Linked DNA regions of Rattus norvegicus. The protein of the gene in region 1 interacts with the protein of each later gene in a biochemical or structural test. Links are inferred from orthologs where the notes say so. Each region holds a gene or a part of one and is shown in the gene's direction. Other genes may lie near its edges. The genes, in order: Usp21, Yod1 and Isg15.

Region 1 (4,457 bases):
CCAGGAACTCACAGAAGGTGGGCAACAACTCCTGATGCTTCTGTTCTCCTTCCCCATCCCCTTCGGTTCTCTCCTCCCAATACCCATGGCTCCCAGCCCTTCAAGCTGACAGATTCATCCATTTCCCCCAGTTTCTTTCTTCCTAGAGATTTTCTAGCCACTGAATCTCTTCCTGCCTGCCCTTCCAGACATTAACTTTGAATCCCTTCCCCACTGTCAAACCAACAGCCTTTGCAGATGTGATTGGTGCCCTCTGGCACCCTGACTCCTGTGAAGCTGTGAATCCTACCCGATTCCGGGCTGTCTTCCAGAAATACGTCCCTTCCTTCTCTGGATACAGGTGGGAACTGAGTGAATAGGATTTCTCTCTGGCTGTGTCTGGGGTTGGGCCAAACAGAGGCTCTAGCAGCCATGTTCTGAGCCTTGAGGTTTCCTACAGAGGAAACAGGGACCCAGATTGGGCAGGGGATACTTGTGGACCACAAATAGATCACTTGTCCATATTCTGTCTGGCTATAGCCAGCAGGATGCCCAAGAGTTCCTGAAGCTCCTTATGGAGCGGTTGCACCTCGAAATCAACCGACGAGGCCGCCGGGCACCACCAATTCTGGCCAGTGGTCCAGTTCCCTCCCCACCTCGCCGAGGAGGGGCTCTGCATGAAGAACCTGAACTGAGGTAAGGTTTGTTCCCCTTTGTTCCTCTTTTCAGTAGTTCAGTCAGCATTCAGTCTTCACAGAGCTGAGCCAACCGAAACTGGACATGTAGGGCCCAGGGGAGACCCTTTAGCACAGGAAAAAAAAGGAAGGAAGGGAAAAAGGGGGAAGCTGAGAAGTACAGATATAGGCAAACAGAAAATAGTGTCAGGGATGCCATTAAACTGGGGAAAGAGAGGCTTCTACAATCAAATATATCAAAAGCTTGTAGAGGAAGATGACTCTATCTATCTATCTATCTATCTATCTATCTATCTATCTATCTATCTCCTTTTCCCTTTCATCTTGGATTTCCCTGGAAAGTTCCCAGAAGCATTTCTTACTCCTTTGACTAGAAATTTAGGGAAGGCGCTGGTATGTGAATAGGGAACAGGGTTCTGTGGGTAATTTCAGTGGTTTAGGGGTGCCCAGTATTAACACGGCTGTCTCACAATTTGTCCCCATCCCCTTAATCTGTGGTAGTGATGATGACCGAGCCAACTTAATGTGGAAGCGCTACCTGGAGCGAGAAGACAGCAAGATTGTGGGTATGCAGTGGCACACACTGGGAGTTTAGGCTTGGGAGGAGGAAGCATGGGGCCAGGCCAGATGCTGGGGCTGTGAAACGGTGTACAGCTGAGTGGCATGCTGTAGTTAGAAAGGCAGATCAGAGGCACCGGGAGAGGTGGGGTTCTAGGAAAGCACGTCAGGCCTCCATCCCATAGTGACTTTTTCTCCTGCCTTTGTGCTTCTGCCTAGACCTGTTTGTGGGCCAGCTGAAAAGTTGCCTCAAGTGCCAGGCCTGTGGGTATCGCTCCACGACCTTCGAGGTTTTTTGTGACCTGTCCCTGCCCATCCCCAAGGTGGGATTCCAGTAGATTCCAGGGGTGGATGGAACATGGGTTCTGTGACCCACCCCTCCCCACCCCTAAGTGTGGGTGGGAACTGTGTGGGTCTCTAAAGCAGAATTAAAGCCTGGATTTAAAAAAAGATTAAAAAAAAAAAAAAAAGGAAACTCAGAACATGCTGACCCTCACTTCCCCTTTCCCACTAGAAAGGATTTGCTGGGGGCAAAGTGTCTTTGCGGGATTGCTTCAGCCTTTTCACCAAGGAGGAGGAGCTAGAGTCGGAGAATGCCCCAGTATGTGGGACTTCAGCGGGAGGGTCTGCCTGGGTGAAAGGAGATGCATGCCTCCTTAACTTGGGAAGAACAGCTGTATGTCTGGGTGAATGTTGGGGCTCTCGGGTATGTCCTAGTGTGTGCCTAGGTTAAAGGGGGAGGGGCAAAGCAATGAGACACCTATTAAACTTATGTGTGAGTTGGGGTGTCAGAAAAAACCACCTAGGTGAGAACACTGATCTAACACTATTTGCTGTTTATGTAGGTATGTGACCGATGTCGGCAGAAAACACGAAGTACCAAAAAGTTGACAGTACAAAGATTCCCCCGAATCCTCGTGCTCCATATCCTACTTTTCAAGTTCTTATTTCTCTTAGGGTATCTCCCATACAGTGTTTCCTCACCTTCAGTGAGTTTCCCGTAGGGAAAACCTGCCACCCCAACTTTCTCTGCCACTTTTCAGGACGTGTTGGGGGAATGGAGGGTACCGAATCTATTTCCGCAGTCTCCCTTTTAGAGACCCTTAGCCTCCCCAATGCTCCTTAACCAGGGCTTAGATCTGAACCGATTTTCCACCTCCCGAGGCTCCATCAAGAAAAGTTCAGTAGGTGTAGACTTCCCACTGCAGCGACTAAGCCTAGGGGACTTTGCCAGCGACAAAGTGGGTGAGTCTGGCAGGGAACGTCCTAAGGAGTCTTCAGGAGGGAGACACAACTCCCAGTTGCAGAAACTGATGTTATCTAACCTGCAGGAAGCCCTGTCTACCAGCTGTATGCCCTTTGCAACCACTCGGGTAGTGTCCACTATGGCCACTACACAGCCCTGTGCCGGTGCCAGACTGGTTGGCATGTCTACAATGACTCCCGGTGAGAACAGCCTCTTATTCAACTCCTGCCCCACCCCACTGCAGCCCTGGCACCACCCCCTCCTGTGAGGTCTGAAAAGATAAGTTCCTGACCATGGATAGGTGGGGGGGGGAGGTCTCTCCTGATCGCCACCTGGCTACGCTACACTGCGTCTTTAGGACAGAGGGGGAATCTTCTGGAATGACCACAGCCATTTCCCATCTCTCTTCTCAGTGTCTCCCCTGTCAGTGAAAACCAGGTGGCATCCAGTGAGGGCTACGTGCTGTTCTACCAATTGATGCAGGAACCACCTCGGTGCCTGTGACGCCATCTTGAAGCCCTGGCACCTGTGAAAACCTTCTCAACACCCTTAAGCCCCCAGGCTCCCCACTTACCTCACAGACGTCTATTTTTGTGTCTTTTTAATCGGGGAGGGGAGGAGGGTTGGTTGTAGCTCCCGTTATTTTTTTTATTAAGAAGTACCCTTCCACCTTGTTTTCCTGTCCCATGTACAGAAATTACCAGGCCCTTGACCATGTACAGCCCCCAGAACCTCTGCAATCTCACTTTTTTGTGAATAAATTTATTAAGAAAAAGTAAATGTAGGAAGCGCAAGGCCCTGGGTTCGGTCCCCAGCTCCGGAAAAAAAAAAAAAAGAACCAAAAAAAAAAAAAAAAAAAAAAAAAAAAAGAAAAAGTAAATGTTCATGTTTGTATTTGTGGGTAGAGGGAATGGATATCTAGAACTTTGGTTCTGTTGGAGCCTTTCTGGGACCCAATTCTGTCTCTGAACAGGTGGGGGCGCTCTCACAACAGAAGGAAAAGAACAGGGATTGAGCTGGCTCCAGACTTGGACCCAAACACTGACAGTTTAGTGGTACTAGGAAGACAAACCTTGAGACCTGTGAAGTTGCGGGAAAGCCTGGAACTAGAGTGCAGGCATTGGCATACCAGGTTTTGCCTGTGAAGGGGACTGCCCCTAGGGGGCAAAGCACCCAAGAACCCCTGTTGACAAACATGATTTCGTTGCTGGGCGGCCCTTGCTCCCGTAGGCCCTGTCTGTTGCTAACATCAAGGAGCTGTTTATGGAGCCTTCTCCCCACGGACTGGCCTCCAAGTGTCTCTCTCTTTCTCCCTAACTAAAGCTCGTGGGGCCCTCCCAACCTCCAGGGTTCTCACCACAGATCTGGGAAGCTTGAGCAGGGGAATGCTAACTCCCGGATTCAGCATTTCGCTGTCCTGTCCCTGGGGAAGGCAGTACTGGTTACTGCAACTAAATCCGACTAGGGAACGAACAGGTTAACCTGCACAGAACTGACTCTGAAAGCCGCTGTAGTTCCGCTGGTAGCGTCACTGCCAACATGGTGTTTTCATTGGTGGATGTATCCAGAGCCCACCAATCCAGAACCCGCTTCCTAGGACCCACCAATCCAGAAGCAGGAAAGTGAAACGGAGCCTTGAGGGCCGCCAGAATGGAGTCGACGGAGAGCCGGAGGGACCGTAAAAGTTAGGGGCGGGGATACCAGAGTTGAACCTAGTCACCAGCTGAGGCTGGAAAAACCGAGTGCTGCAGTTCTGGCCTGTGGAGGGCTTGACCTGGCGAGATAGCGTGGGCGTGGGCCTTATCTGCACACGGACAGGATGGACTGGTCCTAGGGCCTCTATATCACTCACTCGCTTTCTCGGGTTCCCCCTATCTCGTGGGTAGGTCCTGGCCTCTGAACAAAGACTTCACTCTTCCACCAGCACGTACACGCGCGTTTTGCATTAGTTGCTCATTAATCAGTAAGTGCCCAGAGGT
Region 2 (5,132 bases), about 42 Mb from region 1:
TGAGAGGGACTGGGGCTCACTTCTCAAACCCTGATAGCAAGGAGCTCAAGACAAAAGATGAGAGAGAGAGAGAGAGAGAGAGAGAGAGAGAGAGAGAGAGAGAGAGAGAGAGAGAGAGAGAGAAAGCGTGCATGGCTCCCGACAGAGCCAATTCTCTCAGTCCCCACACACCAGCTGCGGCTCAGCGTCCCTGAAGGGCTGCACGCCCAGGAGTGTCACGGGAGCTACCCTTCCCTAAAGCACGAAGCACCGTCGCTCTGCACCTTAACCGCGCCCGCGCAGGACCCCAGCCCCACGTACAGACTGCTCAATTATCGCTCACCCTATGACCTGTCCTATTCGTCCTCCCTGCTGTAGACCCGGTGTCGCCACCGGAGCGCCGGGAAGCAGAGCGAGCAGGCAGACTGAAGAAGTCCGGGCTCCGGGGGTTGGGGGGGGGGGGGGGGGTCACGTGGGGCGCTCGGGCCCGCCCAACCCCGCGTCAGTCCTCACCTGGAGGCACGCTGGACCAATGAAGCACCTGCAGGGCCGGGGGCGGGCTCCTGGGGTCTGGGAGGACCTGTGACAGCTTAAGGCTGTCCGCTCCCAAAACAGCGGACCCAGTAGAGCTTGGTGGCATTGTTGCTTGGAAACAAATCGAGCTGAAGGCGGGGTTAATTAAAAGCCTTACTTTTTTTTTTTTATTCTCGCGAGACCTGTTTGGCTGACATCTTGCGTGGGAGTGACTGGTGAAAAAAAAACGAGGATTAACGCCTTCACCCCAGAATCTCCAGCTAGACTAGGTTCTGGAAGGTAGACGTCGGCTTTTAAAGATGCCTGGCTGGCTACCAGAATGCAAGAGCTAACTCCAATTTCTGGTCAGGATCCTGGAACCTACGGATCCGGGAGCTTCTCATTCACCTTCCAGGTGACTCCAAAGCACGTTCCTTTATTTCCTCGTACAACCCGGGACCCAGGCTATATTATCTGGGGTCATCTTGAAGAACCAAGGAGGAGAGCTGCACCCGCTCCTGGTGTAAGGGTGGAGAGGAACAGATTTGCTACCATTGATTCCCAGTACAGGTTGTTGCAGTGGGGTTTACGTATCCCAGAACTGCTTTTCAAAGCCACGCCCCCAGCATGCCTTTGGTACCCGATGCGAATGACAGTCCACAGTGGGGAGGGGGACTTGCTGCTTTAGCTAAATGATGGGGGGGTCAGGGGAGACCCTAGAGCTGCTTTTATTCATTCCTTCTTTACCTGGGAGTCAAGTCACCTTCCACATAGTCCAAGAATGCGTTTTACAACCCCCAGCGTGTTAAGGCGTGCTATAAACTGTCATTATTCGGCGTTTACTGCACACCTTTTATTATGTTCAAGGCAGTCTCGGGCTCTCGACATACAAAGTTGGAAACTGACCTAGCTATCTGGTTAGGTCTCCCCTTCCCCGTCCGTCTTCTATCTCTGGGCCACGACGAGGACTCCAATCGCATGATGGAGTGTCTTCCTAATTGGATCCGAGGAATCGAACTGGAATCCGGATGACAAGAGTTAGTCCTCTTGAACACTGCCACCACCCGAGTGAGGCAATCGCCCCAGGCAGGGCTGCTGACCTCATACAGTCTTTCTGAGGTGGCAGATGGACGCTTTCAAGTTCGTCTCACGGGACTCCGGTCGTCCCGTCCACTTGGCCTCAATGAATCAGTTCGGTGCAGCCAGGAACTCGTCAGCAGAGTGACTGTTTGGCAGGTCCTTTGACCTTTCTTGGCATTTGTTTACCTTCTCAAGGATGAGTCTGCTTTGCCTGGTGTTTGGGTGGCTGCTTTCATCATTTCCGACCTCCCTGCAAGGTGACATTCTGCTCTGCTAGACTCGGGAACTCCTTCCCCGCCCTCCTCCCTGGAGGATAAATGCTGCCGACGCGAAGGGCGCCTCACCGGAGCGCTCGGGAGAACTGGCCAACCTCCAGCCCTCACCCACGGCTGCCCTTATCACTTTAAGAGCCGGAGTGTATTTGGAAGGGCCGAAGCCAAGTCCCCACCGAGGTGTCGCGAGAAGCGCCCCAGCGGCTACTTCTCGCGATGTTTGGAGGCGCGAAAGGCGGCCATTTTGGGGTCCCCCCCGCTGGTTGTTCCGGCGCTGTCTCCCAGGCTGCGGCTGGGACCAAGGCTGGCCCCGCAGGAGGCCGGCCGGCCGACACTATGTGGCGGCTCCGCTGCAAGGCCAAGGGTGGCACCCACGTTTTGCAGGGTCTTTCCAACCGGACCCGCTTACGGGAACTGCAGGGCCAAATCGCCGCTATCACCGGCATCGCTCCTGGCAGTCAGCGAATCCTCGTCGGCTACCCACCAGAGTGCCTGGATCTCAGCGACCGGGACATCACTCTCGGGGACCTGCCCATCCAGTCAGGTACGGGCACCGGCCGGGGCCGGGGAAGTCTTGGAGGACATTGAGGGGAGAAGAGTAAAGCCAGTAAGGCAAAGTGCTGGTGTGACAGCTAGGGGCTTCGAGAAGGACCAGAACTCCAGGAAGGCCGGGGCAAGTGTCAAGTCCTTTTAACTGTGTTTTAGAGACAAGTCTGGAGTCTTGAAGCTCCCTGTTCCCCAAGCCTGCGTCCAGGTCAATCGTTTTCTCTGCTTTCCCAGAGGACAGCAGGATCCTTTCCCCTGACAGGGTGGTTCTTTTTCCCTATCCTGATCAGCAGGTCAGCAGTTGAGATACGGATTTTTGCCTTAGTTGTCCGTCCCTCGGTTAATTTGTTTTGAGTTTGTTTCGTGTACACTTGGACGTATGAGTTCACTGTAGAATTAACCAACAACAGTTATTTGTTCCCAGTTTTAGAACTTGGACATCAGTGTTGGTCATTAAAAGCTTTGCATGTTGTGTCAAGGCCCCTCGAGCTGTCAAATGGTATAGTCCTGCTAAGTGGACAAACACCCTGGTGACCTACCTAGTCTGTAGAGAACCTCTGAAAGATTTGTTAAGTTTAAATGCAACGCAGAGCATTTTGTTCTCTTCTCCTCTTTCTGAAGACACAGTGAACCAAACACAGACAAACTTAAAAGAGCTAACTGGCTTCTTGTTTACAAAGTTGGGTTCTCCTTGGTAACCCTCTGTATACCTTTAACTCATTTGGTTTCTAATTTACTGAGTTGGCTAATAAATACCCAATCTATAATTTCTCTGCAGTTCTGGATTTGTTTTATTTTTAACAGGTGACATGCTGATTGTTGAAGAAGACCAAACCAGACCAAAAGCTTCACCTGCGTTTTCAAAACATGGTGCTCCTAGTTATGTCAGGGAAACTCTGCCTGTGCTTACCAGAACCGCAGTCCCAGCAGACAACTCTTGCCTCTTTACCAGTGTGTACTATGTAGTTGAAGGAGGAGTCTTGAATCCAGCTTGTGCCCCTGAGATGAGACGCCTCATAGCACAAATTGTAGCCAGTGATCCAGACTTGTATAGTGAGGCAATACTGGGAAAGACAAACGAAGAGTACTGTGATTGGATCAGAAGGGATGATACTTGGGGGGGAGCAATTGAGATATCAATCCTGTCCAAGTTTTATCAATGTGAAATATGTGTAGTAGATACACAGACAGTCAGAATTGATCGTTTTGGGGAAGATGCAGGCTATACCAAAAGGGTTCTACTCATCTACGATGGCATTCACTACGATCCGCTTCAGCGAAACTTCCCTGATCCGGATACCCCTCCTCTGACCATTTTCTCCTCAAATGATGATATTGTTCTCGTACAAGCACTGGAATTAGCTGATGAAGCTAGAAGAAAGAGACAGTTCACTGATGTAAACCGCTTCACCCTGAGATGCATGCTGTGTCAGAAGGGCCTAACCGGACAAGCTGAAGCAAGGGACCATGCCAGGGAGACAGGCCATACCAACTTTGGAGAGGTGTGATCTGTTCCGGAGAATTGGAGCCTACTACCTCACAGATCCAGAAGGCTCTGGGTTTTCCAATAAGCTATTCATAACCCTACAGAATAGAACACAATGCTTGGACCATCCTTTTATCTTAAACCAGTATGACTGACACTGAAATTCCTTGTTAAGATTAAAATCAGTGTGCAAGTTTACAGATGTGTGTCTACACTAGTGGCATGCCCTCTTTCTACCGGGGTGTTGGAATAGGTGGTTTTGGCCGCTTCTGATGCTAACCCGAAGACTGGATTGTATTATAAACCAGCACCCTGCGGCTTTAGCTTATAAAAGAAAACATATTTTAGGTAATATGCAAAGCTTTGTGGAGGACCACTGGACATATACCACAGTGTCTCCAGTAGTTGATTTCTTTTAATATTTGAATGAGTTAGTTGTTTCTAAATTCTGAATTGATTCATCAAATGAAGATACTCAGAATTGTCAAAACTTTTTATATTGCAATTTGGTAGACTTTATAAGTGTCTCTAACTACTTACAAGTACATAAAAAGCAATTTTACAGGGATAAGTATATCCCTTGCGAATGTTATCTAAAACAGGAGTTAATATGGTCCTGTTGAGATTTCTAGTGTATAAAAGTAGAATGTATAAAAGGGGGAAAGGTGCCTGAAGCAGCTTACTGAAGCTTTAAAAGACTGTTGGCCTCGTGTTTTAATGCAATTCATGTATTGGTGTTTGTCACATTAGATAATTTTTTTTAAATGATGCAGGGTATGCCTTTTTAATTGCTAATTTAGCTTAAAATTCAAGAAGTATCTTGAAAACTTGAGAGTTTAGTTCTTTTGCTTTTTTACATATAAATTTTTCTGGAGGGATTTTATTGCCTCAACTGTTTAGCTCAAAGCACTTCTTAACAAACAAGTCTTCCTCTAAAGTGTCAGTGGTATGCTTTGGTTTCCTGAAAATGTTTCCATAGATGACATGAGCTATGAGCTCTTAGATAGTTCACATTTCTGCAAGATAGTACTTTGTTCATCTGGGATCCTTGACTTTCAGTTTTAAATAATTTATTTGGTTTGTTTCACTTCCAAAATATGCATACAAAGTTTTAAAATCCTTGCCTTATACAGCTCTCTTATACAGAGTACTGCTACCTAGTGTCAGCTATGTAGCCATTTGCTTGATGGATTGATCCTCAAGGCACATGCTCTCAAAACTTAGCTTCACTATAGAATCTTCCAGGTAAAGTTTTC
Region 3 (3,856 bases), on another chromosome or scaffold:
CCTGGCTGTCCTGGAACTCACTCTGTAGACTAGGCTGGCCTTGGACTCACAAAGATCTGCCTGCCTCTGCGTCCCAAGTGCTGGAACTAAGGGAGTGAACCATCACCTTCAGCTTGAAAATGCCACTTCCACTGAGTAGTTTCAAAGTCTTCACAACTGATTTTTCGGAGAGATGGATGTTTTCAAGAGGCCAGGTACGGCACTCCCAGAGTATTCTAGAAATGTAGTATTCCAACACCCCAGATACACATACCCATGCCTTCTATACAAGAGTCAGTCCCTGTCTTGGGGTTGACAAGAAGGCTGGGCTGTAATTTTCGCAGCTATGGACCTATGTTGAGCCATATGAAGGAGTCTGTGTGGAATCCCCTGAACCTCTGCCTCCTGCAGACATCAGACAAGCAGGGGACATAGAGGGAAGAAACCTCAAGAACCACATCCCCTCTATGATTGCCATACTAATGATTAAGGTTTAACTTGTGAAATGGGCTGTCTTTGTTATACAGGCATTGGAAAGAAAGAAAAGATCCTACTTCTTTAATTTTCTTTTAAATATTGGGCTGGAGTGATGTCTATGTGGAAAGTGATTGAAGAAAACACTCGACATTAATCTCTGACCTCTACATGTACAAGAACCTATATGCAAAATAGATAAACAAAATTTATATACCCAGTTCCTTCTAAATTTCAAGGGCACCTGCACTCACATATACACAACGCCCCCCTAATACCTTATATCAACATAATTAAAACTAAACCTTAAGAAAAACCTGGGTGCTAAGTATATAACTCAATTGTTAGAACACTTACTTAGCATTCACGAAGCTCTGGGTTCTATCCCCAGCACTGCCGAAAATGACTAAAATCTCAGAACCTAAGCAGAAGAGACAGAAGGACCAGTTTAAGGCCAATTTCAAAGTGAGTTTGAAGTCAGCATAGACTACATAGCAAGACTACTTCAAAAAACAAACTCATCTGACTCAATGTATCTTTACGTAAGCAATAGTGTTTGTTTGTTTGTTTGTTTCTTCTCTTAGCTTTTCAAGACAGAGTCCTGGTGCTTGCTCTGTAGAGCAGGCTGGCCCTGAACTCAGACATCCACCTGCCTCTGCCTCCCCGAGGCTAAGATTAAAGGTATGCATCACTGCCCAGCTACAATAAGGTCTTAATAAACTATTACAGGATAGAAATGCTTCCTACAACCCCCCCTACCCCAACTCCCTATGCTTTGAAAACTATTGTTCTAAACTAATAACCAATATCTTTGGGTAATTCTGATTGTTACTATGTTATGTAGTTTCTTTATTATTATAACATTTTTCCAAGATAACTAATTTCCAAGCTAACAAATGGCAAATACGTTTTCTACTATTAGTTCCTGTTCTGACTTTTACATGCCTTACGCAGGACCTGAAGTGCTGGGAGTTTAGGGAGTTTTAGGGCACACGTCAAATTACAGACTTGACCCTTAAGAGCCTGTCTCTTTTCTTCCCAACTACACTTTTCTTTTCATTCAGTTTTGCTTTTCTCATCCATTTAAGGTGTGCCTCAGGAAAAGGAAACCGAAACAGAAACAGCTCTGGAGCCCAGAGACTCCGCCTCTTCACATCCACAGCTCAGACTTTAAGAGAGCTGACCCAGTGAGTCTCTCTCTGACTGTGAGAGCCAGCAGCCAGAAGCTGAGAGAAGCAGAGAGAAGCAGACTCCTTAGTTTCAGGGGACCTAGTGCTAAAGCCTACAGCCATGGTGAGTCCAATTTGGGGCAGAGGCAGATGGGCTTCATTCTAGTTGACTTTATTCTATTCCTCGATAGGGTCTTTCAGAGGCAGAATAGCCTCAGTGTGGGGACAGAATAAAGTTGCTCAAAGCTCACTTGGGGGCTGGGGGTGGAGTTGGGTTCTTTGCTCAGTTATCAGCCCTAGATCCCTTAGGGCTGGACCCAGAAGGATATCTTTGTGGGTGAACTGAAACAATCTGATGGTTGTGGGAGGCTGACCCTTTAAAACTGAGGCCTCTGTATCATACAATACTGGATGGTCCTCCCTGAGGAGAAGATGGATGTGGGACATGGGGGCTGGCCCTACGACCAGTGCTTTGCATGTGGTAACTCCCAGCCAAAGTTATTAAGCCAGTGGTTCTCAACCCATGGGTCATGAACACTTTGGGGGCCTGAACGACCTTCTCACAGGAGGTCCTTCTCGCAGATATCCTGCATACGGCAAGATCACAGTTACAAAATAGCAATGAAAATAATTTTATGGTTGGGGGTCACCACAACTCAAGGAACTGTATTAAAGAACAGAAGCATTCTATTAGAGTCGCAGCATTAGGAAGGTTGAGAACCACTACTAAATCCATGTAATTCTTGCAGACCTGGAACCTAAAGGTGAAGATGCTGGGGGGCAAGGAGTTCCTGGTGTCCATGACAAACTCCATGATGCTGTCAGAACTGAAGAAGCAGGTTGCTCAGAAGAGTGGTGTGCCAGCTTTCCAGCAGCGCCTGGCCCACCAAAGCGGTGAAATGCTACAGGATGGTGTTGCCCTTATCAGGCAGGGCCTTAGTTCTGGCAGCACAGTCATGCTGATGGTAGAGAACTGCAGCCATCCTCTGAGCATCCTGGTGAGGAATGAAAGGGGCCGCAGCAATGTCTATGAGGTCCAGCTGACACAGACTGTGGAAGTGCTTATGAGGCAGGTGTCCCAGCACGAGCAAGTCTCCCAAGACCAATTCTGGCTGAGCTTCAACGGAAGGCCCATGGAGGACAAAGAGCCACTGGGGGAGTATGGCCTAACACCCCACTGCACAGTGATCATGAATTTGCGCCTGAGGGGGGGAGGGGACTACTATTTCTAAGGCCCCTATCCAGAGCCAATGTAGGTAATAAAAGACAATACAATAAAAAGTTCTGCTTTCTGTTTGCTTGTCCCATTCAGAAATGCCTTCTTTCCATGGTGACAAGGCTCTGGGTTGCCAAGTTAAAAGACAAGGATTTCACAGTTAGAGCCTAGTGAGGACCCTTTGGGTGATTAATTCACTTCTGGAGAAAGATACTTTTACTGGGACCCAGTCCTGAGCCTCTGCCAGCATCTAAAAACTTCCCCAAGTCTACATGTGGCTCAGGGACACATCAGGTCAGTTCCTACCAGTAACAGGATGAGACTTCTAATAGGACCAGTTAACTGCTCAGATCCTTTGGAAACAGTGAAGGAATGTTCTTGGACCTATCTGGGTAAGCTGTGAAGGAGGCTGATATGGGTGTTCCCAGTCCCAGTTGCAGTAGACCACAGAGGGAAGGACAGGGTCTCACTACTCAAATCAGTCACCTGCTGTTTAGGACATGGTGGTTAGCAAGTCCACCTCATCAGGGCTATAAAGAGGCTACCTTAGGCAGATTAGATGGGCACCTGGGATTGGGGGCTCATCTGTCCACAAAGGAAATCAGATCTCAGAAAGGAGGTACCCAATTTGAAAAAGCTTCACCCCCTTCCTGCCTGATGGTTCTTTATCTTGTCTTTTCCTCTATCACAAGCCTTTGAGTCGGCTTAAGACACAAACAAGTCAGGGCAAGTACCTCTATGGCCCTTCAGACTTTTAAGAGAATTTGAACGGGGCTGGGAGATGGCTCAGTGGTCAAGAGCACTGACTTGCTCTTCCAGAGGTCCTGAGTTCAAATCCCAGCAACCAAATGGTGGCTCACAACCATCTGTAATAGGATCTGATGCCCTCTTCTGGTGTGTCTGAAGACAGCTACAGTGTACTCAGATATAGAAAATAAATAAATCAGAGAGAGAGAGAGAGAGAGAGAGAGAGAAAGAGAATTTGAACGGAGACTCAGAAGACCCCCTTCTGGTTGGT

What was found.
Region 2: the proteins of Usp21 (region 1) and Yod1 form a complex in vitro, tested with the Homo sapiens proteins (2 studies listed by BioGRID, with this or other methods). The link is inferred for Rattus norvegicus from reciprocal best matches to the Homo sapiens genes USP21 and YOD1.
Region 3: the proteins of Usp21 (region 1) and Isg15 form a complex in vitro, tested with the Homo sapiens proteins (2 studies listed by BioGRID, with this or other methods). The link is inferred for Rattus norvegicus from reciprocal best matches to the Homo sapiens genes USP21 and ISG15.

What each region holds. Positions count from the first base shown.
Region 1 is NC_086031.1:86,233,923-86,238,379, reverse strand, and holds the end of Usp21 (ubiquitin carboxyl-terminal hydrolase 21), read left to right. Parts: coding exon 1-17; intron 18-228; coding exon 229-340; intron 341-519; coding exon 520-675; intron 676-1,175; coding exon 1,176-1,240; intron 1,241-1,451; coding exon 1,452-1,555; intron 1,556-1,746; coding exon 1,747-1,833; intron 1,834-2,077; coding exon 2,078-2,156; exon of another isoform or gene 2,157-2,362; coding exon of another isoform or gene 2,363-2,369; coding exon 2,370-2,477; intron 2,478-2,563; coding exon 2,564-2,678; intron 2,679-2,891; coding exon 2,892-2,982; 3' UTR 2,983-3,253; downstream 3,254-4,457. UniProt on the Homo sapiens protein: Deubiquitinates histone H2A, a specific tag for epigenetic transcriptional repression, thereby acting as a coactivator.
Region 2 is NC_086031.1:44,725,405-44,730,536, forward strand, and holds the start of Yod1 (ubiquitin thioesterase OTU1), read left to right. Parts: upstream 1-1,914; 5' UTR 1,915-2,060; coding exon 2,061-2,388; intron 2,389-3,194; coding exon 3,195-3,898; 3' UTR 3,899-5,132. UniProt on the Homo sapiens protein: Hydrolase that can remove conjugated ubiquitin from proteins and participates in endoplasmic reticulum-associated degradation (ERAD) for misfolded lumenal proteins.
Region 3 is NC_086023.1:172,065,406-172,069,261, reverse strand, and holds Isg15 (ubiquitin-like protein ISG15), read left to right. Parts: upstream 1-1,605; 5' UTR 1,606-1,743; coding exon 1,744-1,746; intron 1,747-2,371; coding exon 2,372-2,854; 3' UTR 2,855-2,893; downstream 2,894-3,856.